Mus musculus: one gene and its partners. The protein of the gene in region 5 purifies or fractionates together with the protein of the main gene of each other region. This does not show direct contact. Links are inferred from orthologs where the notes say so. Each region holds a gene or a part of one and is shown on either strand. Other genes may lie near its edges. The genes, in order: Khdrbs1, Raly, Ctr9, Larp1, Fus, Hnrnpm and Snrnp200.

Region 1 (3,798 bases), on a different chromosome or scaffold from region 5:
ATGCCTTACAGCTGGGTCTCATGGAGGCACTTTCCCAAAGCTCCTTTCTCTGTGGTAATACCAGCCTGTGTTAATTGACACACAAAACCAGTCAGTACAGCCCCAGTCCTGAAAACCTGATTTAATTCAACAGGTACTGTTTCCCCTACTTGTCGGCTCTACTAAGCTGCTTTCAGCTGGCATTTTCTTTGCAACAGTATTATTTTCAGAGAGTTCCAATTTTTTTCTTTTTATTGAGGAAGGGGGAAAGAGAATAGAGCTTTAAAAAAAAAGTTCTTAATATCTATCAACATTGGGCTGGAGAGATGGCTCAGCAGTTAAGAGCACTGACTGCTCTTCCAGAGGTCCTGAGTTCCAATCCCAGCAACCAGATGGTGGCTCACAACCATCTGTAATGAGATCTGACTCCCTCTTCTGGTGTGTCTGAAGACATAGTGTATTTATATATAATAAGTAAATAAATCTTTAAAAAAAAATTCTACCAACATGGCCAAGGGTATCAGTAGCAAAAGGCCCACCACCAGCTGAGTTAGGCATGCATTACCTAACAGAAACCAGTCAGCGAGACATGGGAAGTGTACCATTGTGGCACTGCAAGACCTAATCTCCAGGACACACAAACCATAGGATTTGAGAGCAGAACCCCAAAGTGACATCGACCACCTCAGCAGTCTTCTAATGGAATCTCCTCAGAGAAGTGATCGCCTGACTCCCAAGACTCCATCAGCCAATATTTTCCCAGACACTTAACTGCACATTTACCCCACCATAAACATAGAAACGCACCGTAGGCTTCGTAAGAATCTTGGAGCTCCCCATGTCCATAGTCATAATACTCTGACTCCCTGAAAATACAAAAACAAAACAGTAAAGGCTTTTTTTGTTACCATTCTTTCAATAGTCCACATCTCGGACAGTTTATTATCTATAAAATAGGGATAAATATATATTCTGCTCCATTCCTAACCCCAATAGTTAAAAAATGTATAAATCATGTATTTACCAAAAAGCCTAATTAAGTATAGCAAGGGGGGAAAACAATAAACATGTATCATACAATTTAATGTGGAAAAATAACAACCTAAATTGTGATTCTTAAAATATGATCATGTATGTAAAATTCATACAGCTCATCAGAGGAGAAGAGGAAAAGGTCGTTTTGTCCCTATCACAAATGTCTGAGATTCTTTTCCAAGCAATCATAGGCAAGACACATATATACACAAAATCAAAGCTGTATTTTAAGACAAAACAAAACAAAAAAACAAAACCTAGGTTAAGCTTCTACCTCATCTCCCGTGTGGGTGAGGTGGGTGGTGATCTGATTTGTCAGGAGATAAAGCCTCCTGCATGCCAAGATGTTCTTGAACTCTTGATCCCATGCTAAGATGAAATGCAGGACTTCATGCATGCTGGGGCAGCATCTACCAACTGCCCCACTTCCTTCTAGACCTGAGTGACATTTCTTAATAAAAATGATTTAATGGTATTTTTCTCTGATTCTTTGTAGCTCGAGAACTGTTCATCAACTAGCTTCAAAACCTCAATTAACATAAAATCCAGTTATCCAAATTCCCAGACCCACAAATATGCCTGCAAGTCATCAAAAGCATAGGGAATACTTTTAATAAGTTAAGTTACACTATTCCTTAGGTTAGAGTTTAGCCAAATCTTTATTCTCTGCAACTTCATGCACCACCCATTTGGGACACTATACAGACATGACTTCTTGCCTGACTCACCCTTGACTCTGGCTGTAATAGCCTTCATAGCCTTCGTAACTCTGTTCTGCGTATGTATCATCATATCCCTGGAACAATAAAGAAGAAGGTCAGAAAAGCATAAACAGGAGAATCACAGCCACAGGGCCGTGGGCTTGTGCATGAACAGGCTACGGAAAATTCTCAAAAATACTAATAACCCCTGTGGAGTGAATACAAAACCCAAAAGGTTGTTTTAATATTACAATCTTAGTAAACGTCTGTATGTTGAACCCACAACTTCTTTTTTTTTTTGTTTTTGTTTTTGTTTTTTAAGACAAGGCTTCTCTGTATAGCCCTGGCTGTCCTGGAACTCACTCTGTAGACCAGGCTGGCCTGAAACTCAGAAATTCGCCTGCCTCTGCCTCCCAAGTGCCTCCCATGCCCAGCAAACCACAACTTTCTTATTTAGCTTATTCAGACATAGTAATAATGCCTAAAATAGTACAAAAATCATCTCATAGTTCAAAAATCAACTGACTAAGAATGCAGATTCCAAATTTTCTAGTTACATGCAAGGGTAAGACTCTTATCACTCAACTTCTCTGGCAACCTAGGTATGGAAGAAAAGGTGCATTGTTCAAACAATTCTTACATAATCTTCGTATGTTTCTGGTGCAGGTGTGGGAGGCAAAGGTATTCTCTGAATCCCAGCTGTCCGAGCTCTTGGTGTTGGAGCACCCCTCACAGTAGGTGGGGGTGGCACTCCTCGAGTCACAGTGGCACCTCTGGTGATGGAGCCTCTCACTGGGGTTCCACGAACCAAAGCTCCTCTAGGTGGTCCAACACCACGTCCTCTATAAAAAGAAAATTTACATTAATTTGAGAATTTAATAATTAGTCCACATTCATACTAAGGATTGTTCATAAATTCTGGAGGTAGAATGATTTTACATTTTACAACTTATTTACTTACTTACTTGAGACAAAGCCTCCTGTGTAGCTCTGGAACTCATACAAATAAATCCACCCGCCACTGCCTCTACTAGGTATTAAAATTAAAGCTGTGTGCTACCAAATCCAGTTAACCTTAAAGTTCTTCCCACTACCCCCAAGACAGGGTTTCTGTGTGGAACTCACTCTGCTGGCCACAAACTCAGAGATCCTCCTGTTTCTGCCTCCTGAGTGCTGGGATTGAAGGCATGTGCCAGTATATATGCACACTTGAGTATTTTTATTCTAAGTGTATGGATATTTTGCATGCAGACATGTCTATGTAACACTCTGTGCCCACAAAGGCCAGAAGAAGGTGTCAACAAGAGAGTGTTGGGTCCTCGAGTTAGAGATGTGTGTGAGCCACCATGTGGTTGCCGGGAATTGAACTGATATCCTCTGAAAGAGCAGTCAGTGCTCTTAACCACTGAGCCATGTCTCCAGCCCCTAATTTTAATTCCTTAAAGGATGGCTCTGTAGCCACACTTGGTAAGTCAGAGCTTGCATCTCTTGCTTGTCCTTTTTTACTTTTCCTTTCTGTTTTTGACAAGGTTTCACATAATCCAGTCTGGTCTTGAACCCAGTACGAAACCGAGGATGACCTTGTACTTCTGCCTTCACTTCCTAGGTGCTGGGATTATAATTGTGTCACCATACCCTGGCGTTTGCATAGTGCTAAGATCAAACCCAGAGATACATGCATGCAAGGCTAACACTCTATTAACTGTGGCACATCTCTAACTCTAAAACTGACTTCAAAATAATAATATACATTTAAGGACCTAAACCAGAAGATTCTCTGGGCTCAATCGTGGATCACAGCACCTCAGACAGGTCTACTTTCTGAATAAATATTAACCACAATGAATTTTAATTCTAAGAGCATATCATATAGTCAAGCTTGATGATGGCCTATGACTTCAATCACAGCACTTGGGAGACAGAAGCAGGTGGATCTCTTTTGAGTTTCAGATGGGCTTCATCTACGTAGCAGGGCTACATAGTGATTAATATCTACTTTGGTTTTTTTGAGACAGGGGTGATTAATATTCTTTTTTATTTTTTAAGATTTATTTATTATATGTAAGTACACTGTAGCTGTCTT
Region 2 (3,798 bases), on a different chromosome or scaffold from region 5:
AACCTTCCCTGAGAAGCTATGTGTTGTGTACCTCCTAGGCCCAATTCTCCTCCTCTTCAATACACCCCTAGCTTTGCCAAGCTCTGTCTTCAGTGGGGCTTCATATCAGCGACTCAAACAGTGAACTACACTCAGCTCATTCTTGCCTACTCCTCACAGGACTGAGGCTCTAGAAAGCAGAAAGGAGGGAGCTCACACGGAGCAGCCAGTTCTGGTTCTTCTACTGTCGCCATTTTGACAGCCCAGCCCTTCCAGGTCACACACACACGTAGCCAGACCCTTACCAGCTCCTCCTCGCTATGTGTTAGCAGTCCCTCCTCATCACCATCATCTCGAGTTTGGACTTCTCCTTGGGGTGTGCCTGCCTCAGAAGCCGTGTCTTCTTGGGGCGCTGGTAGCCGGCTGCTGCTGCTGCAGCTCCCGCTGCCGCCGCTGCTGCCACCACCAACATTGCTACTGCCGCCTCCACCACTGCTGCCTCCTCCTCCACCACTGCTGCTGTCACCCTTCTTCTTGCCATCTTGAAGGATAAAAGAAGTGGGAAAGGGACAAACTTCAGCTGGGGCAGCCTACTTAGCACACCTCGGTGAGAGCTGGCCACTCCACAGCAGGATCTCACGGCCCCTAACCCTCCGGCACTGTCTTCCCCAGGGCTGCCCTCAAAGCTGACCTGGGTTGGCCTTCTGTTCCTCAGCAATCTGTTCCAAGCGACCCAACAGGGCATCGATGTTGGACTTGATCTGTGTCAGCTCTGTTTTGATGGTCTGTAGCTCACTGCTCTTTACTGAGAATAGAGAGGAGACAGGATTATCACTTAGGGGCATGATGCAAACAAACCCAGCCTCATTCTGTCAACTAGAGTGGCAATTATTTTTCTGGTTCTTTTCTGCCCAGGAAAAGGTCTCTTCTTCAGAGAACTGAGAGGCCATCCATACAGTGCCAAGCCCATACATATGAACCTGGCCATTTGAGACCTCTCAATCCTATGGGGACTACAGGTGACTAGGAATGTAAGTGGTAGATGTTCCTATAAACACCTACGGAATGGCATGTGTCTTAGCTGTGTTATATAGGGTGGGGTCTGTTTTTAAAGATACAGGGGGTCTTTTGCAATTAGATTTCCTGGGTGCCTTAATGAAGTATACAGAGATCAGAATAAAACTGCCCTTACTTTCTCCTTACTAGAGAAAAAAAAAAAAACATTGCTATTTCTTCAGTGGGTCTCACACCACAGCACTTGACTTTTTCCAAAGGACTCAGTTGTGTAAGAGCAGTAACTTCAACTGTGGATTTGTTCCTTTATTTTATTTTTAGTTTATTTCTGTATTTTTTAAATGTCAGTATGCTCTGTATGTGTACTTGCACTCAAATATAGAGCATCCGATCCCTTTATAGTTGGTCATAATCCATCATGTGGTTGCTGGAAATTGAACTCAGAACCTCTGGAAGAGCAGCCAGTGTTCTTTTCTGCTGAGCCATCTCATCAGCCCTGAGCCTTTATTTTTTCAATGTTAAGAAAGTATGCTTTACTGGGGGCATAGGGGTGGAGGGAATTTGCTGGTCTTTAATCCCAGCAATCAGGAGGCAGAGGCAGGCAGATCTCTGTGAGTTCAAGGCCAGCCTGATCTACAGAGTGAGTTCCAGGATAGCCAGGGATACAGCGAGAAACCATGTTTCAAAAAATAAAACAAATGAACAAATAAAGCAACAACAACAATGAGCATGACTCTAGGGCCTGGAGAGGTGATTCAGTGGCTAAGAGCACTGGCTGCCCTTATAGAGGACCTGAGTTTCCCAAGTTACCCGTAACTTCAGTCAGGGGAGACTTGTCACCTGCTTCTTGCCTCCCAGGCACTGCATATAAATGGTGCAGAGACATATATGCAGGCAAAACACCCATATGCGTAAAATAAAATATTAAAAAAAAATCAATTGTTAAAAATGGAATTCTATCATTTTAGTGGTGGTAAAAACCAAACCGTCTAGCTTAGGGGTTCTCGACTCCTGATGCTGCAAGTGACCCTCAACCATAAAATTACTTTATTGCTACCTTATACCTGTAATTTTGCTACTATTATGAACTGTAATGTAAATATCTGATATGCAGGATATGCAACCCTCAAAGGAGTCAACAATTCACAGGTTGAAAACCACTGATCTAGAAAGATTAAAGTATGTCACCACAATGTAGTTGTGCACATCTTTAATCCCAGAACTCAGGAGACAAAGGCAAAAGAATCTTTCTAAGTTTTAGGTAGTCTGGCTTACATGAGTTCCAGGCCAGCTAGAGATACACAGATAAAAATAAAAAACTAGATGTTACCCACACTTGATTTTGGCTGAGCCAGTAGTGACAGCTGTGGAGCGGGCAAAGAGCTTGACAGGTATCGTAGTTTTGACACGGCGAACCAAAGGGACTGTAACACGGGGTCGCTTCACCGGAACTGCCCTGGGCACAGGCACTGGAGAAAGGCGGCCTCGATAATCAAACAGCCTGTGAAGGTAAATAGACCAGAGGCTGCAGCATGGCCTGTGACTACCAGTAGGCACTACAACACTAGCTTTACCTGTGTAGCCTGTGAGGGCCAGGGAGGAATGGTCTTCCAAGAAGCCCTGGTGTGAAAAGGGCTTTCTGGAGCCTGAAGGCTGATGAAATCCTTACTATTCCCACCTTACTCCCAGGCAGGCCAAGAGAAGCGGTGTAGGAACAAACAGCTCAGTGTCAGAAAGGAGCCTGTCCTGAGGTCACTGAGGCCTGCCCTCTACTCACAACTGCCACCATCAGTTTGTAAATCTCACAACAGCATGAGCTTCCACCCTCTGAACCTTGGTTTTCCCAACTACTTAGTGAGGATGGCTATTCACGGTCTACCTGTGTGTACAGTAAGGGTAGAACATGAGAACCTGGTTAAAAACACCTGAGAAGGTTTAACAAGTGAAATCCAGGACACCAGGGAACTGATTACCCAACAGAGAAGCCCAGGACTCCAGACTCTAAGGCCTTTCTTTCCTGTGGACCACTTCAGCACACTTTTTCTTCAGATACAGGCCAAGAACTTAACAGCATTTCAAGGGTGGGCATATAAATTAGATCCAAAGCTTCCAGATTGTGTGTTCTCACGCTAATATCAAAACCTGGCCCTCTCCAGAAGGGCTACTTTTTCTGAATACAAGACAAAAACTTAGAAGACTAAGTAGGAAGCTCTCCCACCAAGTCTGCTATTACCACGGTTCTGAAGGGAACCACAGCCTTGGTCAGGAACTATTTTCTGAATTAGTCATGGTAGCTGCCATCAGTATGAAACTCAAAAAGTCCAATTTTTTGGTGCTCTTTTCAAAGAGTCCTGCAACTGGTGGCAGATGGTGATCAGTCTCTGGGAATGAATGCAATACCTGATCCTGCATTTGACCTGACCCACGAGAGGAGGTGATGACTCTGGCCTTGGTCAGAAATCACAGAACCATAGAATTCCAGAGATACAGGAATCCTGAGAGGTCACTTGGTGTAAGCCTGTCTTACTGACTAGTAGAATGGGAATTTGCCAAAAGCCAGATAATCCATTCACTGGCAGAGTTTAGATTAGCATACAATCTCCTCCCTTCTGGGCTCTAGCACTTTCCACTGTACCACATTATTTACTGAAAACACTCACAGCAGAGAAAATGGTTCAGAAAAATTCTTTTCCCTAGGCTGTCTGAGGGAGAAAGAAGGAAGAAGAGGTCTGACTCAAACTTTACTACAACTTCTAGTCAAGACCTGGTCAGGAGCTGGTATTGTGATTAGTCTTGTAGTCTCTG
Region 3 (3,798 bases), about 17 Mb from region 5:
ATTGATTCAGGTAAAGCGAGTGCCCATTGAGCTCTCCCTTCCCTGCCTCCCATACTGAGCTCACAGACGCATGGCCAATCTTGCGTGAGTAGTGGGGACCTGCACACAAGTCCTCATGACTGCCAAGCTCTTTCTAACTGAGCCGTCTGTCTAGCCTCTGCCCAGTTTCTTGATGAGTAAATTGAGGCAGGTTACAAGCTTAGAGCTTGATGCTGCATCATTCTTGATTGCTGCTTGTTACAGTTATGATCATTACACACATTATTATATCACATAGTTATTATTTATTGAGGTTAACTGTTACAGTGCTAAAGTTCAACTATTTAGGGAGAAGATGAAAATATACCTTATAGCTAAATGAAATGTTACCAATTACTAGTCAAGCAACCTTCTGACATCACTCAACTTTTTTCCGGTATCAAATTCAGGATTATAGTAAAGTGCAGCACCTGGCTCTCCACGCATTCCACAACACCGAGGTGGAGGCTATGCAAGCAGAAAGCTGTTACCAGCTGGCTCGGTCCTTCCATGTTCAGGTGAGACCATTGTCACCTTCCTAAGTAGTCCTTAACTTAGAGGGTTTCAGGCTTCTGGCCACTTTGACGTGTTGTTGGTCTTGTCTTATTCTCATTTCTCAGGAAGATTATGACCAAGCCTTTCAGTACTACTATCAAGCCACACAGTTTGCTTCATCTTCCTTTGTCCTACCATTTTTTGGTTTGGGACAAATGTATATTTATCGAGGTGACAAAGAGAATGCATCTCAGTGCTTTGAGAAAGTTTTGAAAGCTTATCCGAACAATTATGAAACTATGAAAATTCTTGGCTCTCTCTATGCTGCTTCAGAAGATCAGGAGAAACGAGACATAGCCAAGGTGTGTTCTAAGTCTTAGGTACCCTGAGACTCCAGCTGTGGCTAGCACAGCTGTGAGCAGTATATGGGGCTTCTTACGCAGCTTACGGTAGCCATGTTTAAGGTTGTCATTGCTTACTTTGACAGTGTTATTTTAATGATCTCATTTATCCCAGGGCCATTTGAAGAAGGTCACAGAACAGTATCCTGATGACGTGGAAGCTTGGATTGAGTTGGCCCAGATCTTAGAACAGACTGACATACAGGTATTAATGTCTGCTCTTTATATCCTAAATGATGTGTTTTAATAAGCTGGTGTAGGGTTTCTCTTTGATCTGTGAGTAAATCTTACTCTGTCTACGGTCAAATGCAGGGTGCCCTTTCAGCTTATGGAACAGCCACACGCATCCTGCAGGAGAAAGTGCAGGCCGATGTCCCTCCCGAGATTTTGAATAATGTTGGGGCCCTCCATTTTAGACTCGGAAACCTGGGGGAAGCAAAGGTAAAGAAACAAAACCTTCCTTTTTTCTATGCTTGACCAAGCTGCAGGCACTTGCTCAGCTGTATCCATAACAGTGCCTTTTCTTCCTCACAGAAATACTTCCTGGCCTCACTGGACCGCGCAAAGGCAGAGGCCGAGCATGATGAACACTACTACAATGCCATCTCTGTCACCACATCCTACAATTTAGCCAGGCTCTATGAGGCCATGTGTGAATTTCACGAAGCAGAGAAACTGTACAAAAACATTTTACGAGAGCATCCTAACTACGTTGATTGTAAGAATTTTAGGCTTTTTTGGGGGGGAGAGAATGAGAATGAGAGAGATTATTCCTAAGTTCCCATAATAACAGTAAAAACTTTTTAGGAACGAAAGTCTTTGTTAAAGATGCAGTCTGGAGTGGTAGCACTCTTCTGTCATCCTAGTACTCGAGAGGTAGATGCAGAATGGATCAAGAGTTCAAGGCCAGCCTCCCTACCTAGCAGGTTTGAGGTCACCCTGGCCGTGTATGAGGCCCTGTCTCAGAAACTGAAGTAAGGGGCTCAGGAGATGACTCAGCAGTTAAGGGCACTAGCCATTCTTCCAAAGGATCCAGGTTCAATTCCAGGCACCCACATAGCGGTTCACAACTGTTTGTAACTCCAGTTCTAAGGGACCTGACTCACTCACACAGACATACATACATGCAGGCAAAACACCAATACTCATTTTAAAAAAAAATGAAATAAAACTAACATTGCAGTTTCATTTACTTATGCTGGGAATTACAAGGATCAACAAGAGTCACTTGAGTTGTGCTCAGTAGCTGTGAGTCTGCTGCTGCCGGGCTGCTGCAGGCGAGCTTCACTAGTTAGTGGGCGTCATCTGCAAGCGCTCTTCCTTCACTAGAGGGTTTTGTTTTTGTTTGTTTGTTTTTTTCTTGAAACAATTATTACTAAAATGTCCTAGTTTGAGTTTTTACATCCAAGGCCCTGTAAATGATTGGCATTTCAAAACTAATGTGTGTTCTCTGTGGCAGTTTCTTCTCTCCTGGGCTTCACTCTCTGTAGTTTCATTTGCCTACACTCAGCTCTGCTCTCAAAATAGTAGATGAAAAAATTCTATACATAATTCCTAAATTTCAAATTGTGGACCGTCCTGCATGTGGTGCTGAGACCTCATGGCTCTCCACTCCAGCCAGCCCAGGATGTGCGTTGTCCCAGTACTGTCAGTTGCTGAGCAGTCATTTCAGAGAGCAGCTTGACTGTGGGGTACCAGAATTTGTGTGCAGTGATCCTTACAGTATTTTATAGTGATCCAGCCACATATCTTTAATCCCAGCACTCCAGAGGCAAAAGCATGGGGGTCTCTGAGCTCCAGGCCATCTTGGGCTACATAGTGAATCACAGGCCAGCCAAAGCTCAAGCATAGTAAGACCAGGGTCAAAATAGAAAAGAAAAAAAGAAAAAGAAAGAAAGAGCGACCTAGTGGTGCAGTTTTTCTTTCTCCTAGCTAGAGTGATGTGTCTCCATGTGTGGGGCTTTTCTCTTCTCTCTGAAAGTATTAACAAAATTCAGCTGTTCCAAATGTCAGACTTCAGTGTTAGGACCCGTTAGACATGAGATTGTGAAAATGAATTAAACGTGCACTTTCAGGCTATCTACGCCTAGGAGCCATGGCCAGAGATAAAGGAAACTTCTATGAAGCTTCAGACTGGTTTAAGGAAGCCCTTCAGATCAATCAGGTTAGTGGTATTGACTTGGTTTCAGAAATCTTCTTCTTTTACCTTTCAAAATCAGTCTGTCAGTTCAGTGGCTGTGATGTTTCCCGTAACCATGGCATCTCTGGGTTTAGTGGCTTGTTTTATCTTTGTCTCACTTGTTAAAGACTTTAAAGAGAATAATAGTTTGTATGATTAGTCATCTCATAATCAGAATCTTTTTTTTAAGTATATAAAACTATTTCCCTTCTATTTTTCTCTTCCTTGTCTGCCTCCTGTCTCCTGTACTCAGCCCGGTAGCCTGCTGAGAACAACTTCCAGAGTCAGTGTCTTAGCATTTGTAGGTTATCTGAGTTTCTGATCGTGGCTCACAGTAAGAAGGCTACACATTAAAAGACAGCTTTGCCGGGCGTGGTGGCACACGCCTTTAATCCCAGCACTTGGGAGGCAGAGGCAGACAAGATTTCTGAGTTCGAGGCCAGCCTGGTCTACAGATCGAGTTCCAGGACAGCCAGGACTACACAGAGAAACCCTGTCTCAAAAAACCAAAAAAAAAAAAGACAGCTTTACAAGTTGTTAGTTACTCTTCCTGGTGGGCAGCACAGTTATCATTTCCTTCCATTCTGTTGCACTATGTATGCTGATACAGGCACCACATTGATCTTGCAGTTTGCTAACAGGTCTCAATTCTCAGTCTGAAAGCCACCATTGTGGTTTAGCTTTAAACCTTTTCAGCTATTAGCC
Region 4 (3,798 bases), on a different chromosome or scaffold from region 5:
TGGCTCGCAGACCAAAGGAGAACCCATATAAAGAAGCAGGTAGTAGAGTAAGAGGGTTAGTGTTTTAGTAGCAGAATAGTGTTGGACCTGAGTTTCAAAAGAGGATTAGTTTGTTGGGCTCACCTGTGATAGCTGAAAGACTGGGTGATTTGACTCAAAGCAATAGTACATCATTTCTTTTCAGCCTTTAAGCCAGTGATTTTCAAACTTTCTAATGCTGGGACTCTTTAATACAGTTCTTCCTTGTGTTATGGTGACCTCCAACCATAAAATTATTCTTGTTGCTACTTTATAACTGTAGTTTTGCTACTGTTATGAATCATAATGTAAATATTTATGTTCTCTAGTGGTCTTAGGTGACCCGTGTGTAAGGGACACACCCCAGGTGTCACAACCCACAGGTTGAAAGACAGCTGCCTTAAGCTGTCCAGCAGGAGAAGAGTGAAGTCAGGAATGTGAGGTTGTGGGGACGGAGAGGGAGCAGGGAAGGCCCATAGCCCCTCAGTGATGCCTTTTTTCCCCTCCACTTAGTGAATATTACTTCAGCGTGGACAATTTAGAGCGAGACTTCTTCCTGAGACGGAAAATGGATGCTGATGGCTTCCTTCCCATCACCCTTATTGCTTCCTTTCACCGTGTACAGGCCCTAACCACTGACATTTCACTCATCTTTGCGGTATGTCTCTTCCTGGGGATGATGGTGGGAAAATAAGATCCTCATTGTGAGTCCTGAGTTGATGGGTAAACCCTGACAGAGTTCCCACTAACTGTTTCTACTGAGTCCCAAGGTGCCACCATGTTACATACAGCAAGCACCTCACCAACTTCAGCAAGAGTCAGCTATAGCTGATCTGCCTGTGTACCCTTCATCTGCTTTTCCTAGGTCTTCCTAGAGACAATCTAGCTAGCCTTTAGTAGCTACAACATCATTATCACTTCTACAAATAGAACAGGTCTATAACATCATCAGTTACCCCCTTTCAGATTCTCCTCAACTCCTGCTAAATGTTGTTAAAAAGGGGTTTTAAAGATTAGAGTCCAGGGCTGGAGAGGTGGCTCAGTGGTTAAGAGCATGGACTGCTCTTCCAGAGGTCCTGAGTTCAGTTCCCAGCAACTACATGGTGGCTCACAGCCGTCTGTAATGAGATCTGATGCCCTCTTCTGATGTGTCTAAAGACAGCTATGGTGTGTTCATATAAATAAATAAATAAATAAATAAATAAATAAATAAATAAATAAATAAATAAATAAATAAATAAATCTTTTAAGTGCTTTGGAAAAAAAATTAGAGTCCAGATCAGATCTGTGTATTGTCTTGTATTTCCGGCTATCCTTTTATTCTTCCTTGCTAATCATTTGTAGGGTAGACTAGGTCATGTATCCTATACATGCCTACATGTCTCATGGGACAGGTAACATCTCACATGTCTTGAGTTTGGATAACTTAGGGGCATAATGAGATTCAGGGCTTTGTCAATGACATGTGTCTTCTTTGGGGTAGCATATGACAATTATCTCCTGAGATAAAAACTACTGCAGCTATTACAGGGACACTTTTCTTAGGGCTTGCAAAATAGCAGTACTCTAATCCTTCAGTCAACCTTCCCTTAACTTTTGAGGAGAGTTTGAGGAGACCCTTGCTTCTCAGTTGTTCAGTTTACCAGAGGTAGACAAGAGGAAGAACAGGAAGGACGGGTTTATGGGTTTGACCCTGTTCACTCTGTGAACAGTTCATTGAACTCTGAAGTGGTTCCCCAAATCCTTGAAAGGTAACTGGTAGGATTTCAGGACTTTTCTCTTTAGCACTGTATGTTATAAGCAATATAGATTGCCCTGGATACTTTCTCATTTCATTATTGGATCATACTTTGCTTTGCACCCTGCTCCAGGTAGGCTGCCTTTAAAGAAACATTAATTCCTCTTCTGAGTAACTGGTTTGCTATTATTCATACTTGGCTGGTTATCGTTTCTAAGTTGAGTAAAACACTATAGGAGATGGCAATTTTTCTTTTTTAAGAGACAGTTTCTCTTTGAAGCCCTAGTTGTTCTGGAACTTGTTATGCAGATCAGCTTGGCCTGGAACACTTAGAATCCCACCCACCTGGGTCTGCCTCCCAAATGCTGGGTTAAGGGTGTGTACTACCATGCCCAGCTCCCCAACCCCCTTTAAATTCCATGTCCCAGATTGCCAATCCATTTGTTTTAATCTACAGTATATGCAGATTGATTTTTGCTTTCTTTTTGGTAATTTATATATAGTCAGGTGAATGCTACTCCGAGTCATGAGAATATTTTTTTGTGTTACTATTCCTTTAAATTATATGTATTAGTTTTATTTTGGATTCAAGTTTTGAGGATTCTATCAGTCATCATAATTCTAAATTTTTAAAAAATTAAGTAGAACAAATACATGGTTTCAAAGTCTCTACATGGTATATAAGTATTAAAACTGTCATTTTGGGGGAGGGGCATGCCCTCTTAGAGGCAAAGGGAGGTGGGAAAGGAGGTTCAACATTTGGGGTGTAAATAAATAAAATAATTTTTAAAAATTTGTAATTTTTACCCCTTCTGGAATCACCTCAGACAGTCTGCAACCTTTTTTTAAAATTTATATTTACACACACACACACACACACACACACACACACACACACACACACGGATTTTGTTTGTTTGAGACAGGATTTTTCTATTTAGTCCTGGCTCATCTGGAACTGGCCTTGAAGTCACATATATTCCCCTGCCTCTGCCCTAGCCTCTGCTTGCTGAGTACTGGGATTATAGGCGTATACCAACACTGCCTAGCAACACAGATAAATTCTTATTGGTTCTCTACTGGCCTATATTCATCTCCTCCTTTTCTTGCTAAATATGGTGATACATCACACAGGTATTTTACCACTTGTATTGTTTCATTTTATATATCTGGGAGCTAACTGCAAAGTGATGTATAAAATAGATGCATGCTTCCATTCTTTTTAAGTTGAGCAGTGCACCATCCATGGTGTTTCAACCATTTAGATCATGGTTGTTTCCAGGCCTCCTTTACAAGTAAGTAGGGAGGTGGGGGAGAAAAAGGGAAGGGGTTGTCTGTATATATGTCTGTCTGTCAACTCTATGCAGTGCCTGCAGAGGCCATAAGAAGGTAGTGAATTGGACTGGCGAGATGGCTCAGTGGGTAAGAACACCGACTGCTCTTCCTGAGTTCAAGTCCCAGCAATACATGGTGGCTCACAACCATCCATAAAGAAATCTGGCGCCCTCTTCTGGTGTGTCTGAAGTCAGCTACAGTGTACCTATGTATAATAATAAATAAATCTTTTTTTAAAAAAGAGGGTAGTGAATTGCCCCTGGGACTAGAGGTACAGATGGTCTGTGTGATCATGTGGGTTCTGTAAATGGAACCTGAAACTTATGGAAGAGCAGCCAGCTCTCTTAACTGCTTTTTACTAACATGCCGAGAACATATGTCTATAACAGAAGACCTTGTGTATTTAGTTTTCTGTTGGCAAAGATTTTTAGAAAGTAGGGTGGCTGATACAAAGGTGAAACTGCATAGCCCTTTGTAAAGTGTGTCTTGTACACTCTCTCTGCTTCTCTTCCCTGCACAATGCAGGGCACCACATGCTGAGCCTTCCCTTCCCTTCTTTCTCTCAGAAGGTTTCAGAGCTTACATAGAAGATCTTTAAGCTGGGTGTGAGGGCGCTTATAATTATTTCTAGTACTTGAGAAACAAAGGTTGGCAGATCTCCTGAGTCTGATGCCACATTGGTCTACAAAGTGAGTTCCAAGACAGCC
Region 5 (4,469 bases):
TCAAGAGATCTACTAGCCTCTGCCTCCCAGAGTGCTGGATAAAGTTGTGTGTGCCACCACTCCTGGCCCTAACTACATTTTAAATGTGCTGATATGGAAAGAAAAATGTTTTGCCCTTGTGAGGTAAAAATGGCACCACCTCTGTGAATCACAGATTGTCAGCCAACTTCAAGAATTCCCAAGCAGACCATTTCCTTCCTATCCGTCATTCTAAACTGGTTCTCTCTTTAGCAAACTTGCTTTTTCACAAAAATAGTAAGCAGGAAGAAAATAGTCCAATATAAAATCAATTACAAATCAGTATTTTTGTTTTAAAAGAATGACTACAAAACTTTAGGGAAAATGTGGGAATTTCGGTATTGTTCAGGTTTAAGAAAAGTTAACATTCATAAAGAAATGAAGATGTGTTCTACTAAGAACTCACTGTTTTGGGTCTGTCCATAAGAAGAACCATAGCTGCTCTGGCCGTATCCTGAAGTGTCAGCTGACTGGCCATAACCACTGTAACTCTGTTGGCCATAGGGCTGACTGCTCTGTTGGGAGTAGCCCTGCCCAGGCTGGGTAGGATAGGCCCCGTAGCTACAAGAAAACAGACCAGTAATCTTCAACTAAAAGAATAAGAACAAAAGCATACAGAAATACATAAAACTCAAGTTAGATCAATCACCCTTGCTGTCTTCTAGCATCAGACCAGAAACAGTATACTCACCTTTGAGTTGCTTGTTGGGTATAGTCTGTAAAAGATGGGAAAGAAAAAGGTCTTAATTTTAGTTAAGAATAGAAATAAATTCTTCAACTTTTGTACTAGGCACTCCAGATGAAACAAATCTACAAAAACAGGCATAAGTTAGTTCCTCATGAGACAAAATGGCCAAGTTTTATTACAAAAAGCAAAGAAAGCACAAATTTCTAGACACCAATAAGTCTTAGACTTTTGTTCTGGGTAGAACCCAGGGCTTGCTTGGGACCCACTAAACAAGCGACCACTAAGCATGACAGCCACAGAGCTCTGTGGGTGGACTGGTTCTCTATCTAGAGGCAGGGTTTCTCTGCATAGAACTCACTCTGTAGACCGGGATGGCCTCCAATTTAATACATACAAAGCTCCATCTGCCTCTGCCTCCCAAATGCTGGGATTAAAGATGCCCCACATCGGACCGGGCGTGGTGGCGCACGCCTTTAATCCCAGCACTTGGGAGGCAGAGGCAGATGGATTTCTGAGTTCGAGGTCAGCCTGATCTACAGAGTGAGTTTCAGGACAGCCAGGGCTACACAGAGAAACCCTGTCTCGAAAAAAAACAACAACAACAAAAAAAAAAAATCCAACATCATGTCCTTTTTGCCTTTTTTCTTTTTTGAGACAGAAGTCTCGATTATGTATCTATCCCAGAATTCAATATGTAGACCACCTCGAACTCACATAGATCTGCCTACTTCTACCTCTTAGTCCTGAAACTAAAGGTGTGTGCCACCAAACCTGGCTCAATCTTTAAAAAAAAAAAAAAAAAAAAAAAAAAACTCAAAATACAGATCATCCCTTAAGTTTAAAAATCCTTTTGACTTGTTGCAGGTCTTTCCAAGGCCTGCAACACACGTCACCACATTTTATATCTTCACAGCAGCTCTGTATACAGGAAAGGTGGTATCACCGGATGTCAAGATTAACTTTGACAGTCAGCGCTATTACACAGTTGAGTTCAAGCCCAAGGAAGCAGCTAGAAGAATGGGACTCTCCAACCCCCAAATGGCATGGTGCTCCCAAGGTTCCCGACGTGTGGCTCCAAATAACTGAGCTCCCGCCTACCATGCGCACCCAAAGCAGACAGCACTTTCAACAATCTGGGAAGCTGTAGCTCAGCAGCTCCCTGCAGGAAACCCAAGCTCTACCCCCGCACTGGGACAAAACTGACAGCGAGAGGGTGTGGCCTCGGAGAGCGACTCCTCTGATTTCCTTCCGGCCTTAGGAAAACTCAACTCTGAAGTGGGAAACTCAGGCCGGGGTCCCTGACTCCGTTGGTCATCCCCTGGCGGTCCTCCCAATCCCACGGACACGCAGGCCAGCCAGGAGCTTCCGCTCCCGCTGCGCGGCCACGGAGGCGGGAAGAGGTGGCCCCGCCCCTTCCCAAGGGACCCAGCGAGCAGGGCGAGGCCAGCACCGGACCACAAGTCTTCCGCCGAGGGTCTCGCGACAAAAAAAAAAAAAAAAAAAAAAAAAAGAAGAAGAAAGAAAGAAAGAAAGAAGAAGAAAGAAAAAAAGAAAAAAGTAAAAAAAACGGACCAACTCCTGGCGGGGGGGAGGGGGGCCGCGGCGAGAAGGGGGAGGGGCCAGAGGAGCGCGTGCGCGCACCAAGTGCCCGGATGCAGCACTGCGACAAAGCGAGGCCGGGAACGGAGGGAGGGGAGGGGGTGGGGCGAAGCTGCGGAGACCCAGAGCTCCCTCACCCCGGTCACCCCACGTCGCCAGGCAGCGTCTCTCTCAACACTCGACTCAAGTGACCGGGCCAGGAGAGAAAACCCACGGTCTCCGCGCCAAAGGCGCCAGGGGAGCCAAACAAAATGGCGACACCGCCCTCCCCTTCCCTCCACCCGCTGCTTCCCGCCAGAGGTGGGGGAGCCCACTCGCCCGCCACCGCAGGCCCAGCCGAAAGCCAAAAGCCTTGCTGCGAGGGAACGAGGCCTCGCAGGGACGCGCCGTCGCCGCCTCGCGCTCCCACATACCGTTTGAAGCCATGTCCGCGCACGCGCGCAGCGCAGGCCGCCAAGCAACAAAGTTCCAGACGACCGCGAAGCGATGCCGCGAGGACTGAGCGGCCCCGCCTCCCGCGCCCGCCTTAAGTACGCCTGCCGCCTACGCGCCACCGGGACGTACCAAGTGGAGAAGCGCGAGGGGGAGGCACGCCCAGGTCCCCACCCTTCCCCGGGGATACGGAGAGCTCAGGAAGACAAGAGGGAAAACGAACTCGCTTTATTCCCAAACACTCGCACGCGCTTTCTCCTTGCGGCCGGTGGCTCTCGTCCGTCGCCCGGGGCTCGCCTTCGACACACCTCTACCCCACTAGAGGCAGAATGGTACGACCCGGCCTCCCGCTAGGGGCGGTGCCAGGGCCCTGCGCCCGAGAGCGGAACTGTGTAGTCAAGGCCTGGAGTCTCCGGGTGTGGGAACCGAAATCCTTCCGACCGGCCCAGCGGCTGGGCCCCACTTTCACTGGGGAAGATGCAGCATACTTTCGCTTGCCCTGGCCTAGCAACTGAGTCGAACGCAGTGTCGCTCTGGTCCTCCACATTCTCTCCTGACAGACAGCACACTGATCAGTCTCGTTTTTCACTTAGGAATGCCTCGGCTTGCTGTTCTTTAGACCTTAACAAGGTTTATAGATTGTGACGTTTAACCTGGAAGAAGATGAGCTTTAGTCTGGACCCTATGGCCCTAAGGCTGGTTCAACAATAACACATATGTATACAACTTAAGAGGCTTCAAACCCACAATTACCCCCCCCCTTTTTTTTTTTAATTTGGCCTCTCAGTACCGCTCAGTTGATCTCGAATCCTTGATCCTATTTGCCTTAGCCCTGTGCATCCTGGAATTACAGTCGTCCTGGTTTTCCCCCATCATCATCTTGTAAAGAAATCTGAGGAATGTAGCTTAATGATAGAGCGATCGTTTAGCCTGTGCATGACCCTGCCTACCTCTCCAGTCCCGGAGCTAGGCAGAGGTGGAGGGGAGATGGATCTTATGAGAGCAGTGAGCGGCTAGACTAAGAATGTGAATGAGGTACGAGGCAGTTCAGGGTCAGACCTTCTGATCTTTAAAGTCTAAGCCTGGGGAACTACAAAATGCTTCTTGGTTACAGGAAATGATTGAAAGCATTTAAAGGCATGAACACTTTTTGTCAGTTCAAGGACAAAACGAAATTCAAGGGGGTTGGAGAGACAGCTGCTCTAGAGAAACCACAGGTTCAATTCCTAGTACCCGAATGTGGGCAAACAACCAACTGTAATTCCAATACCAGGGACTCTGGGATCACAGAGATCAGGTAATTCATTTTGCAATGAGTAGGTTAGGATGGGTCTGAGGGAATGACATTTCTACTGGGAGTTTACCAAGTGGATAAGAACAAAAATGACGGGTTGGAGAGAGGGCTCAGCGATTAAGAGCACTGACTGCTCTTCCGAAGGTCCTGAGTTCAAATCCCAGCAACCACATGGTGGCTCACAACCATCCATAACGAGATCCAGAAGAGGAGAGGGGTCACCCTCTTCTGGAGTGTCTGAAGACAGCTACGGTGTACTTACATAATAAATAAATAAATCTTTTTTTAAAAAGATATTTAAAAAAAAAAAGAAGAACAAAAATGACCAAGCTTGACTGAGAACCTGCTCTGTGAAGCCACGTTAGCTGTATCCTGAGAGGGGGCATTGGAGAAAAGATAGACATTGTCCTCCTCTTAGGAACCCTCTCTGGCCCGCCC
Region 6 (3,798 bases), on a different chromosome or scaffold from region 5:
CTATGTGTTCAACAGACCAAGAGTCTTTAGTATTTCTGAAATATCATGTTTTCTGGGTAAAGCAACCAGTAATAGTCTCCTGAGTTTAATTTCTGTAGTTATGTGTGACATACTCACTGTAATTAAAAAGATGTAACCCGAGGGCAAGCCTACAGCAAGGAAAGGGATCTCTTCAAACAACGTCTCTCTACAACAGACAGAGTCCATAAGGATATATTATAAAGAAATAAAAGCCTCAGTTCTACCGGGCGTGGTGGCGCACGCCTTTGATCCCAGCACTTGGGAGGCAGAGACAGGCGAATTTCTGAGTTCGAGGCCAGCCTGGTCTACAGAGTGAGTTCTAGGACAGCCAGTGCTACACACAGAAACCCTGTCTGGAAAAAAAAAACCAAAAAGAAAAAGAAAAAAAGAAAAACCCTCAGTTCTCATAAATGGTTTATTTCCTAAACTCCTCTGAAAAGAAAAGACCATTCATAGCATGTGTCTATGATACAACCACACCTTTTATCCATCTGTGTTCTACTCCAGAAAAATTTCAGATTCCATAGTAATCTATTTACTCTAGTCACAGAGAAAATAGTTACTTCTACCTTGTTGTCGTAATATACCTAGGTATGCTATTGCCTAACAGTGCTGGGGGCACTGTTTGCCATGAGCTGAATTCCCACAAAAGGATACATATTGCTTGCACAGCTTCAATGGACTGTTCAAAAGTCACAATGCCTATTCCACGACTTTTCCCATCTTTATCTTCCAGAATGTCTGCTCGGACCACCACACCAGCCATACTAAATACTTCCTTCAGTTTCTTCCAGCCAACTTTATAATCCAGCTAGGTGAAAGAAGAAGGTGAAAACTTCAAGGTAAACTTCTCTGGGGAAAAAGACACACTTTTACTATATTAAGATTGCTTTGACTGACTTTACAAGAAAATTAACTTCAGTTGAATTTTTAAATAGGACTGCAAAACTGGGCCTTAACTCTGCTATTTATTGCCTCTCTTCTTAAATGGAACAGAATAAGTCTCCTCACATTTAACAAGCTTTCCCCCTCATACTTAAAAAAGTCAGCAGGATGGTGGTGGTACCTGCCTTTAATCTCAGCACAGAGAAGGCAAAGGCAGGTAGATCTCTTGAGCCAAAGGCCCACCAATGCAACACCACTGAGAAACTGTCTTGAAAATCCCAAAAAGTCACTCTCCTTTTAAGTCTTTCCCCCCTTTTAACTTGTGAACCCACTCAGTTCTAAAAGTATTTGTCCTTGCAGAGAATAAAAATATCACCATTTACTCTAGATACAAAAAAAATGTGAAAATATTGATGGTCTATCCATTCTTCCCTTTACCTAAATAAACCCCAATTAAGGACGCGTACCCAGCTACTGCCTCTGTAGCATCAGAAAGCCTTAGGAAACAAGACCCTAATAGGACTGAGGTGAATCCTGAAGCCACAAATGCAGTGGTCACAAGAACAAAGTAGAAGGCCTACTTAAAATGAAAACAAGCTATCTACCATAAGTCTAACTTAAATTACTCGTATAACAGTGATACAATCAATATAAAGTGTTTTGTACATTTTTCTAATTTGTTTTCATTTTATTTAAAATTAAATGCACACTATTTTCACATTATTTCCGTCCCTCCCTATTTTTCTATTTTAGAGAATGTTCCCATTTACTTACATTTGCTACAAATACTGTGCTTCCAAGTCTTCCAGCCTGTAATGCATGGATAATCTCATTTGGGATGTTAGGATTATTTAGGATACTGGGTGGGATATTAATCATTCCTGGGCCACCTGGTCCCATACCCATCCCACCAGTCGTAGCCATCACCTTTTGCATTGCTCTCCTTGCATGTTCACCATCAGGATCCTGAAAAAAGCATAAAGCGTTACAGCTAGAAGTAGGTCAGAAGTAGGCTTGCAGAAACTAGTGGAACTGCTGCCTTCACCACTACAGAGGCTCTCGTCTGCTGAGGTGCAGCTCAGTGATAGAGTTTCTGCCTAGTATTCCTAAGTACAATCCCTACCCCCAATCATTAAACAAATAAAATAAAAAAGGCTCCCAGTAAAGCACAGTAGCAGTGGTGGTAAAGGTCTGTAACCTTAATTCTCAGGATTGCTACAGCAGCTCAAGGTCAAAGCTGAAGTAAAAAGCTTCAGGGAGGGCTCTGTCACAGTCCAGTCTGGTACCTCTTGCTGTGTACTCGAAGTCTGTCTTTGGATACGACTTAGAGTGGCAGACCTTATCATACGGCACAGTATACACCAGCCACTCCCATTACCAACACCAAAAAAAGCAAACAAAAATCTGCAGACCAACAGACAGTTTGAAAGGTATTTCTCTAATTATTAACAAATGAAATAAACCACAGCAACAAGAAGAGTTCTAGGAAGAGCAACAGTTCAGAAACAAAAAGCATAAAACTAAAAATCTAAAAACAATCTTCAATTTTAACTAAAATGAACGGGTAAGGGATAAAGGATTGGCTGACCAGAGTTAAAAATGCCAGATTGAAACAAGATCTTCATGGGCATGACTCTTACTAATTAGTGTTACTTATGTAAAACTCATCAATGATTTTTCACAAAGTCTTAAATCATCATTCTATAATCCAAGGTTCCCTAAACCCTTCAAGGGCACCAGTGTTGGCATTCAAGTACAGTCAATGCTGTGTATCAGTACCTGAACAGACTTATGGAAATTTGATGCTGGCATGACTATCTATCTTACTCTTATCTGTGTCTATGTGTCCATATAGAGGTATACAGCACATGTACGTGCACTGTGTATTTCCTGCTTGAGTGCTGGAAATCAAATGCAGATCCTCTCTGGAAAAGCAAAAAGCACTCCCAACCACTGAGCCATCTTTACAGCGTGACCCAATTCCTGAAGCCTGCCTCTTCAATTTACCATTAACACGTAAGAACTGACTTATACCTGACCATGCTTTCCTCAGAGTCTCAAATATGCTGTATTCTTCCAAAAGGAAAAGGTCTAAAAGAGCTGCCTTTAATCTACACACTCAGGCAGCTAAGGCAGGAGGATCATGAGTTATAAATTACCCTGGGATACACAGCAAAGAACTAATTTCAGATATTTTAACACTGTTCCCCAAATACACACACAGTCAAGGAGGCAAATAATATTTGGCAGTTAATAAAATATCCTTCTATAGAAAAAAAAAGTATAGTGGCAATCTTGTAGGCACAAAGCCCTGGGTTCAATCTTTTCCGCCACCACCACAAAAACAAACAATGAAACAAATAAAAACCCCATGGTTTGGATTTAATAAAGATGAATACATTCATTTTATAAAATTCAAAGAGGGATAAGATGGCTCAGCAGGTAAATAAATAAGCATTAATACCCGAGCTCAGATCCTCAGTCACCCAAGGGGGGAAAAAAAAAAAGCTGGGGTTGTGGGGCACGCACATCTAGGAAGGGAATGGGAAAGCAATCCACTGGCCCACCAGTCTAGCTTCAACAGTGAGGCCAGGTTTAGTGAAAGCACCTATCTCAAAATCTAAGGTAGAGAGACTGAGGAAGAAAAACATTCACTACTAGCATGGCCACCTGTACACACATGTGTACACATAGGTACATACTACATAGACAAAAATAAAGAGGCAGGTGTTCAGTGACACATCACTGCAATCATAACACTTAGGAAGCTGAGACCACCAGAAACAACAACAACAACAAAACAGATGGGCAACAAAAGAGAATAGTGTTCTGGTTGGTGGATATAAAGACTTCCTAACACAATTCCAATTCTAAAATCCAGAGGCTCAGGTT
Region 7 (3,798 bases), on a different chromosome or scaffold from region 5:
CTGTGAGAGAAGTTACTTTCCATTGACCTAGAAACAATGCTTTCTAAAATACACACAGGAACCCTAAAACTCAATAGTATGCTCCTTAGAGAAGAGTAGGGAACAGGAAGACTGCCTGGGTAACAAGTTTCCAGTTTCTTTTTATACCTGTTATCAAAGTAGAAGAGGCCCTTAGCAGGGTCGACTCGCAGAAAGGTGGCCACATCTTCATAGTTGGGGAGGGTAGCACTGAGACCAATGAGTCGGACATCTTCTTGGGTCATCTCAATGTTTCGGATGGCCCTGGCCACCAAAGCTTCTAAGACAGGACCTCTGTCATCATGTAGAAGATGGATCTCATCCTAAAGAACAGAAAGATGCAAACTGTACAAGTATACAGTCTTAACATGCCGAGTAAAGACAAGAGAGGGACCCTTAAGCCAAGGAATCCTAAAGAACAAAGACAGCTTTTAGTAGAAATATACACTGAGTGTGGACTGTTTAACACTTGTGAGTGAGTCCTTTGATGATACCACAAATCTCCTTACAAATACATGACGGTTCTGACCAGGTTAGAGCAAAGAAGCCTTCCCTTGTGGGCTTTACGCACAGTAAGTTTACACCGCCAACAGCAGTGCTTCTGAGATACAGTAAGCACTGGGAGAACTGCGGATACTGTGGGCAGGCCAGGGACTCAGCACCCGTAGGAGCGGCTGTCAGAGAGCAAGGCTCTAAAAAAGAGGTGAGCAACCTTTTCTTCAAGGGCTGAACATCTGGTACCACACACGCAATACTGTAGGCTAGTGAGCCATGTAACCCTTGTTAAAAAATACTCAGTTCTGGGCTGTCAAGATGGCTCAGCAGTTAAGACCACTGTCTGCTCTTCCAAAGGTACTGAGTTCAAATCTCAGCAACCACATGGTGGCTCACAACCACCCATACTGAGATCTGATGATACCCTTTTCTGGTACATCTGAAGACAGCTACAGCGTACTTATGATAATAAATAAATCTTAAAAAAACAAAAAAACAACTCAGTTCTGCCACAGCCACAGCAGGACAATAATAGCTATAAGAAGTGCATAAACCAATCTATATAACTGTGTTCATTAAAAGAAAAACTTATAGCTATAGTTTTGCCAACTTCCACTTTGAACACAGACTATGAACTACTTTCCTGCTTTCTTAGACAGCTTAAAGAATCAAGCTGGAGGCCAGGGAGACTGCTCAAAGAGTAAAGGGACTTGGCTGCCAACCCTGACGGCTTGAGCTTGATTCATAGAGGACACGCATGGTGGAAGGGGAACTGACATCCACAAGTTTTCCTCTGACCTACACACACACACACACACACACACACACACACACACCATGCAACATCACAGAAAATAAACACATGCAATTAATTACAAAAAGCAAAAACAACAAAACAGATTCAACCGTCAGGCTCAAAGTCCACTCCCTGTAGATACTTCTATGTAAAGGGAATGCAAAGTCCCAATTCCTTACTTATCCTTTGTGACAATGGATTATTTTATAAAGAAACATTTCTATCGTCTTGGAGGACAAAATTATTTTTGTGTGTTTTCATTTGATTCAAAATATTTCATATTCTATAGAACAAGTTCCAAGATAACCAGGACTACATAGAGAGTCTTTCCCAAAAGCCAAATTAAAAAAAAAAAAAAATCAGATATAGAAAGCAATGGGGCATGTGGCAAACAGCATGCATGTCTAAGAGGCTTCCGTTACATACAGATTATGGTTTTAATGGCAACAGCAAAGCTCACAGTGACTCTTATGAAGAAAATGCACGTAGAAGAGCCTTAAGGAAAGCTAGGCATGGTGGCACACACTTTTTAATCCCAGCACTCAGGAGGCAGAGGCAGGTGGATCTCTGTGAGTTCAAGGCCAGCCTGGTCTACAAAGAGAATTCCACAACAGTCATGGTTATACAAAGAAACTCTGTCTCAAAATAGAAAATCAAAACCAAAAAGAAAAGAAAAGAAAAGAAAAGAAAAGAAAAGAAAAGAAAAGAAAGGCATTAAGAAACAGAACTAGGGGGCTGGTGAGATGGCTCAGCAGGTAAGAGCACCCGACTGCTCTTCCAAAGGTCCTGAGTTCAATGGTGGCTCACAACCATCTGTAATGAGATCTGACTCCCTTTTCTGGTGTGTCTGAAGACAGCTACAGTATACTTACATATAATAAATAAATCTTAAAAAAAAAAAAAAAAAAAAAAAGAAACAGAACTAGGGGCTGCTGAGATGGCTCAGCAGTTAAGAGCACTGACTGCTCTTCCGGAGATCATGAGTTTAAATCCCAGCAACCACATGGTGGCTCACAGTCATCCATAATGAGAAACAAATAAAAATCCTATGGGCTGGAGCAAGCGGAGCCAGAACAAGTGGGGCTGGAACAAGAGGGAGAAGGATAGGGGAAAAAAAAGGAACAAAAAAAGAACAGAACCAGTAAACACAGGCAATCCAATGCTCCCTGGTCCTAACACAGTCCAAGAATAGTCATGTGTGGATTTTGGGTGCTTGTGAGAAAACTCCAAGAAAAAAATGACCAGAGTCTTATGATCGTCACTCCTGGAACATGTTTCCATGCTCCTCCCAGGTGTGGGGTATAGAAGTGAGTTTATATCACTATTGTTATTCATATGCCTCTCTAGAAAAACATGTTTGGCCATGTGTGGCCTTGTCCTTGCAACTGAACACCTTAGTCATGTGCTTCTTGTTAACCCTCAGAGTATAAATTGTCTGAATGAATAAAGCTGGCTAGTGCATGGGACTTTAGTCTGACTCGTATTTAGGCCCCACTCTCCCAAGTTCATGCCACCAACTAGAGTGCCAAACACTCCTTGACACAGTTGTTTTTTCCTTCCCACTCTCTCCCACTCACCAAGACAATGAGTCGCACCAGCTGGGTGTAGGTGCGCTCCCCGCCCTTGCGTGTGATGATGTCCCACTTCTCAGGGGTGCAGACGATAATCTGTGTGGCACTGATTTCCTCCTTGCATAGCTGGTGATCCCCAGTCAGCTCAGCAACAGTGATGCCATATGTGGCCAGGCGCTGGGGAAAGAAATCATCATCAGCAATACTGAGTGATGGGGCTGGAGATGCAGCTCAGTGGCAGGGAGCCTGCCTAACGTCTAAGAATGGTAGACGGTGCCTGAAGGGCCTGGCAGCCATTTCTGTGCTGTGGACAAGGAGAAGTTAAGTATCTGGTGAGTCAGGAAAGATGAACAAATGTTACTTAAATCCCACTCGGGTAGAGGCAAAGGATCTATGGAAGCCCTTCATGAAGCAGGAAAGTGGAACTGGGGTAAAAACCCACAAGCTATAAACCATATTCATTCCACATAAATATTGTAAGATGCAGTGAGTCCATTAAGAAAATACAACAAAGATGGTGTCCATGTAAGTCAGGTCAAGACAATTTTGCCTCAGAAATTACTTGGGTCAAATTCTACCTTGGAAATGGCAAAAAATATCTAGAGTTTCCCTAACAAAAGAAGCAGTAATGCATAGGCCCCTCCCTAGCACATGACCAGCTGCAGTTAGTATCTTCTGGAGAAGTTATACGACTTACCTTTCCAAAACTGCCCACCATCTCCTGGACCAGGGACCGCATGGGAGCTATGTAGATGATCTTGAAGTCATCCACATTGATTGTGCCGTCCATGTTGATGTGTTTCCCTATCTCTCGGAGCATACACATCAGGGCCACGTTGGTCTTGCCCGCACCCTAGACGGGGGCAGAGACAAAGCCTCTTCATCTGCTATGGGCTACCACCAAAACAGAACTGACCC

The links.
Region 1: the proteins of Fus (region 5) and Khdrbs1 purify together in Homo sapiens (affinity purification with mass spectrometry; 3 studies listed by BioGRID and IntAct, with this or other methods). This does not show direct contact. The link is inferred for Mus musculus from reciprocal best matches to the Homo sapiens genes FUS and KHDRBS1.
Region 2: the proteins of Fus (region 5) and Raly purify together in Homo sapiens (affinity purification with mass spectrometry; 3 studies listed by BioGRID and IntAct, with this or other methods). This does not show direct contact. The link is inferred for Mus musculus from reciprocal best matches to the Homo sapiens genes FUS and RALY.
Region 3: the proteins of Fus (region 5) and Ctr9 purify together in Homo sapiens (affinity purification with mass spectrometry; 3 studies listed by BioGRID and IntAct, with this or other methods). This does not show direct contact. The link is inferred for Mus musculus from reciprocal best matches to the Homo sapiens genes FUS and CTR9.
Region 4: the proteins of Fus (region 5) and Larp1 purify together in Homo sapiens (affinity purification with mass spectrometry; 3 studies listed by BioGRID and IntAct, with this or other methods). This does not show direct contact. The link is inferred for Mus musculus from reciprocal best matches to the Homo sapiens genes FUS and LARP1.
Region 6: the proteins of Fus (region 5) and Hnrnpm purify together in Homo sapiens (affinity purification with mass spectrometry; 4 studies listed by BioGRID and IntAct, with this or other methods). This does not show direct contact. The link is inferred for Mus musculus from reciprocal best matches to the Homo sapiens genes FUS and HNRNPM.
Region 7: the proteins of Fus (region 5) and Snrnp200 purify together in Homo sapiens (affinity purification with mass spectrometry; 3 studies listed by BioGRID and IntAct, with this or other methods). This does not show direct contact. The link is inferred for Mus musculus from reciprocal best matches to the Homo sapiens genes FUS and SNRNP200.

What each region holds. Positions count from the first base shown.
Region 1 is NC_000070.6:129,718,297-129,722,094, forward strand, and holds part of Khdrbs1 (KH domain-containing, RNA-binding, signal transduction-associated protein 1), read right to left. Parts: intron 2,558-3,798; coding exon 2,356-2,557; intron 1,811-2,355; coding exon 1,743-1,810; intron 846-1,742; coding exon 787-845; intron 1-786. UniProt on the Homo sapiens protein: Recruited and tyrosine phosphorylated by several receptor systems, for example the T-cell, leptin and insulin receptors. Once phosphorylated, functions as an adapter protein in signal transduction cascades by binding to SH2 and SH3 domain-containing proteins.
Region 2 is NC_000068.7:154,860,536-154,864,333, reverse strand, and holds part of Raly (RNA-binding protein Raly short isoform), read right to left. Parts: intron 2,495-3,798; coding exon 2,328-2,494; intron 785-2,327; coding exon 671-784; intron 521-670; coding exon 285-520; intron 1-284. UniProt on the Homo sapiens protein: RNA-binding protein that acts as a transcriptional cofactor for cholesterol biosynthetic genes in the liver. Binds the lipid-responsive non-coding RNA LeXis and is required for LeXis-mediated effect on cholesterogenesis.
Region 3 is NC_000073.6:111,042,388-111,046,185, forward strand, and holds part of Ctr9 (RNA polymerase-associated protein CTR9 homolog), read left to right. Parts: intron 1-428; coding exon 429-536; intron 537-638; coding exon 639-875; intron 876-1,029; coding exon 1,030-1,119; intron 1,120-1,226; coding exon 1,227-1,355; intron 1,356-1,448; coding exon 1,449-1,632; intron 1,633-2,989; coding exon 2,990-3,078; intron 3,079-3,798. UniProt on the Homo sapiens protein: Component of the PAF1 complex (PAF1C) which has multiple functions during transcription by RNA polymerase II and is implicated in regulation of development and maintenance of embryonic stem cell pluripotency.
Region 4 is NC_000077.6:58,043,375-58,047,172, forward strand, and holds part of Larp1 (la-related protein 1), read left to right. Parts: intron 1-531; coding exon 532-676; intron 677-3,798. UniProt on the Homo sapiens protein: RNA-binding protein that regulates the translation of specific target mRNA species downstream of the mTORC1 complex, in function of growth signals and nutrient availability.
Region 5 is NC_000073.6:127,965,827-127,970,295, reverse strand, and holds the start of Fus (RNA-binding protein FUS), read right to left. Parts: upstream 2,818-4,469; 5' UTR 2,732-2,817; coding exon 2,719-2,731; intron 735-2,718; coding exon 710-734; intron 580-709; coding exon 425-579; intron 1-424. UniProt on the Homo sapiens protein: DNA/RNA-binding protein that plays a role in various cellular processes such as transcription regulation, RNA splicing, RNA transport, DNA repair and damage response. Binds to ssRNA containing the consensus sequence 5'-AGGUAA-3'.
Region 6 is NC_000083.6:33,664,814-33,668,611, forward strand, and holds part of Hnrnpm (heterogeneous nuclear ribonucleoprotein M), read right to left. Parts: intron 1,873-3,798; coding exon 1,681-1,872; intron 833-1,680; coding exon 679-832; intron 1-678. UniProt on the Homo sapiens protein: Pre-mRNA binding protein in vivo, binds avidly to poly(G) and poly(U) RNA homopolymers in vitro. Involved in splicing.
Region 7 is NC_000068.7:127,218,288-127,222,085, reverse strand, and holds part of Snrnp200 (U5 small nuclear ribonucleoprotein 200 kDa helicase), read right to left. Parts: intron 3,734-3,798; coding exon 3,578-3,733; intron 3,058-3,577; coding exon 2,887-3,057; intron 342-2,886; coding exon 148-341; intron 1-147. UniProt on the Homo sapiens protein: Catalyzes the ATP-dependent unwinding of U4/U6 RNA duplices, an essential step in the assembly of a catalytically active spliceosome. Plays a role in pre-mRNA splicing as a core component of precatalytic, catalytic and postcatalytic spliceosomal complexes.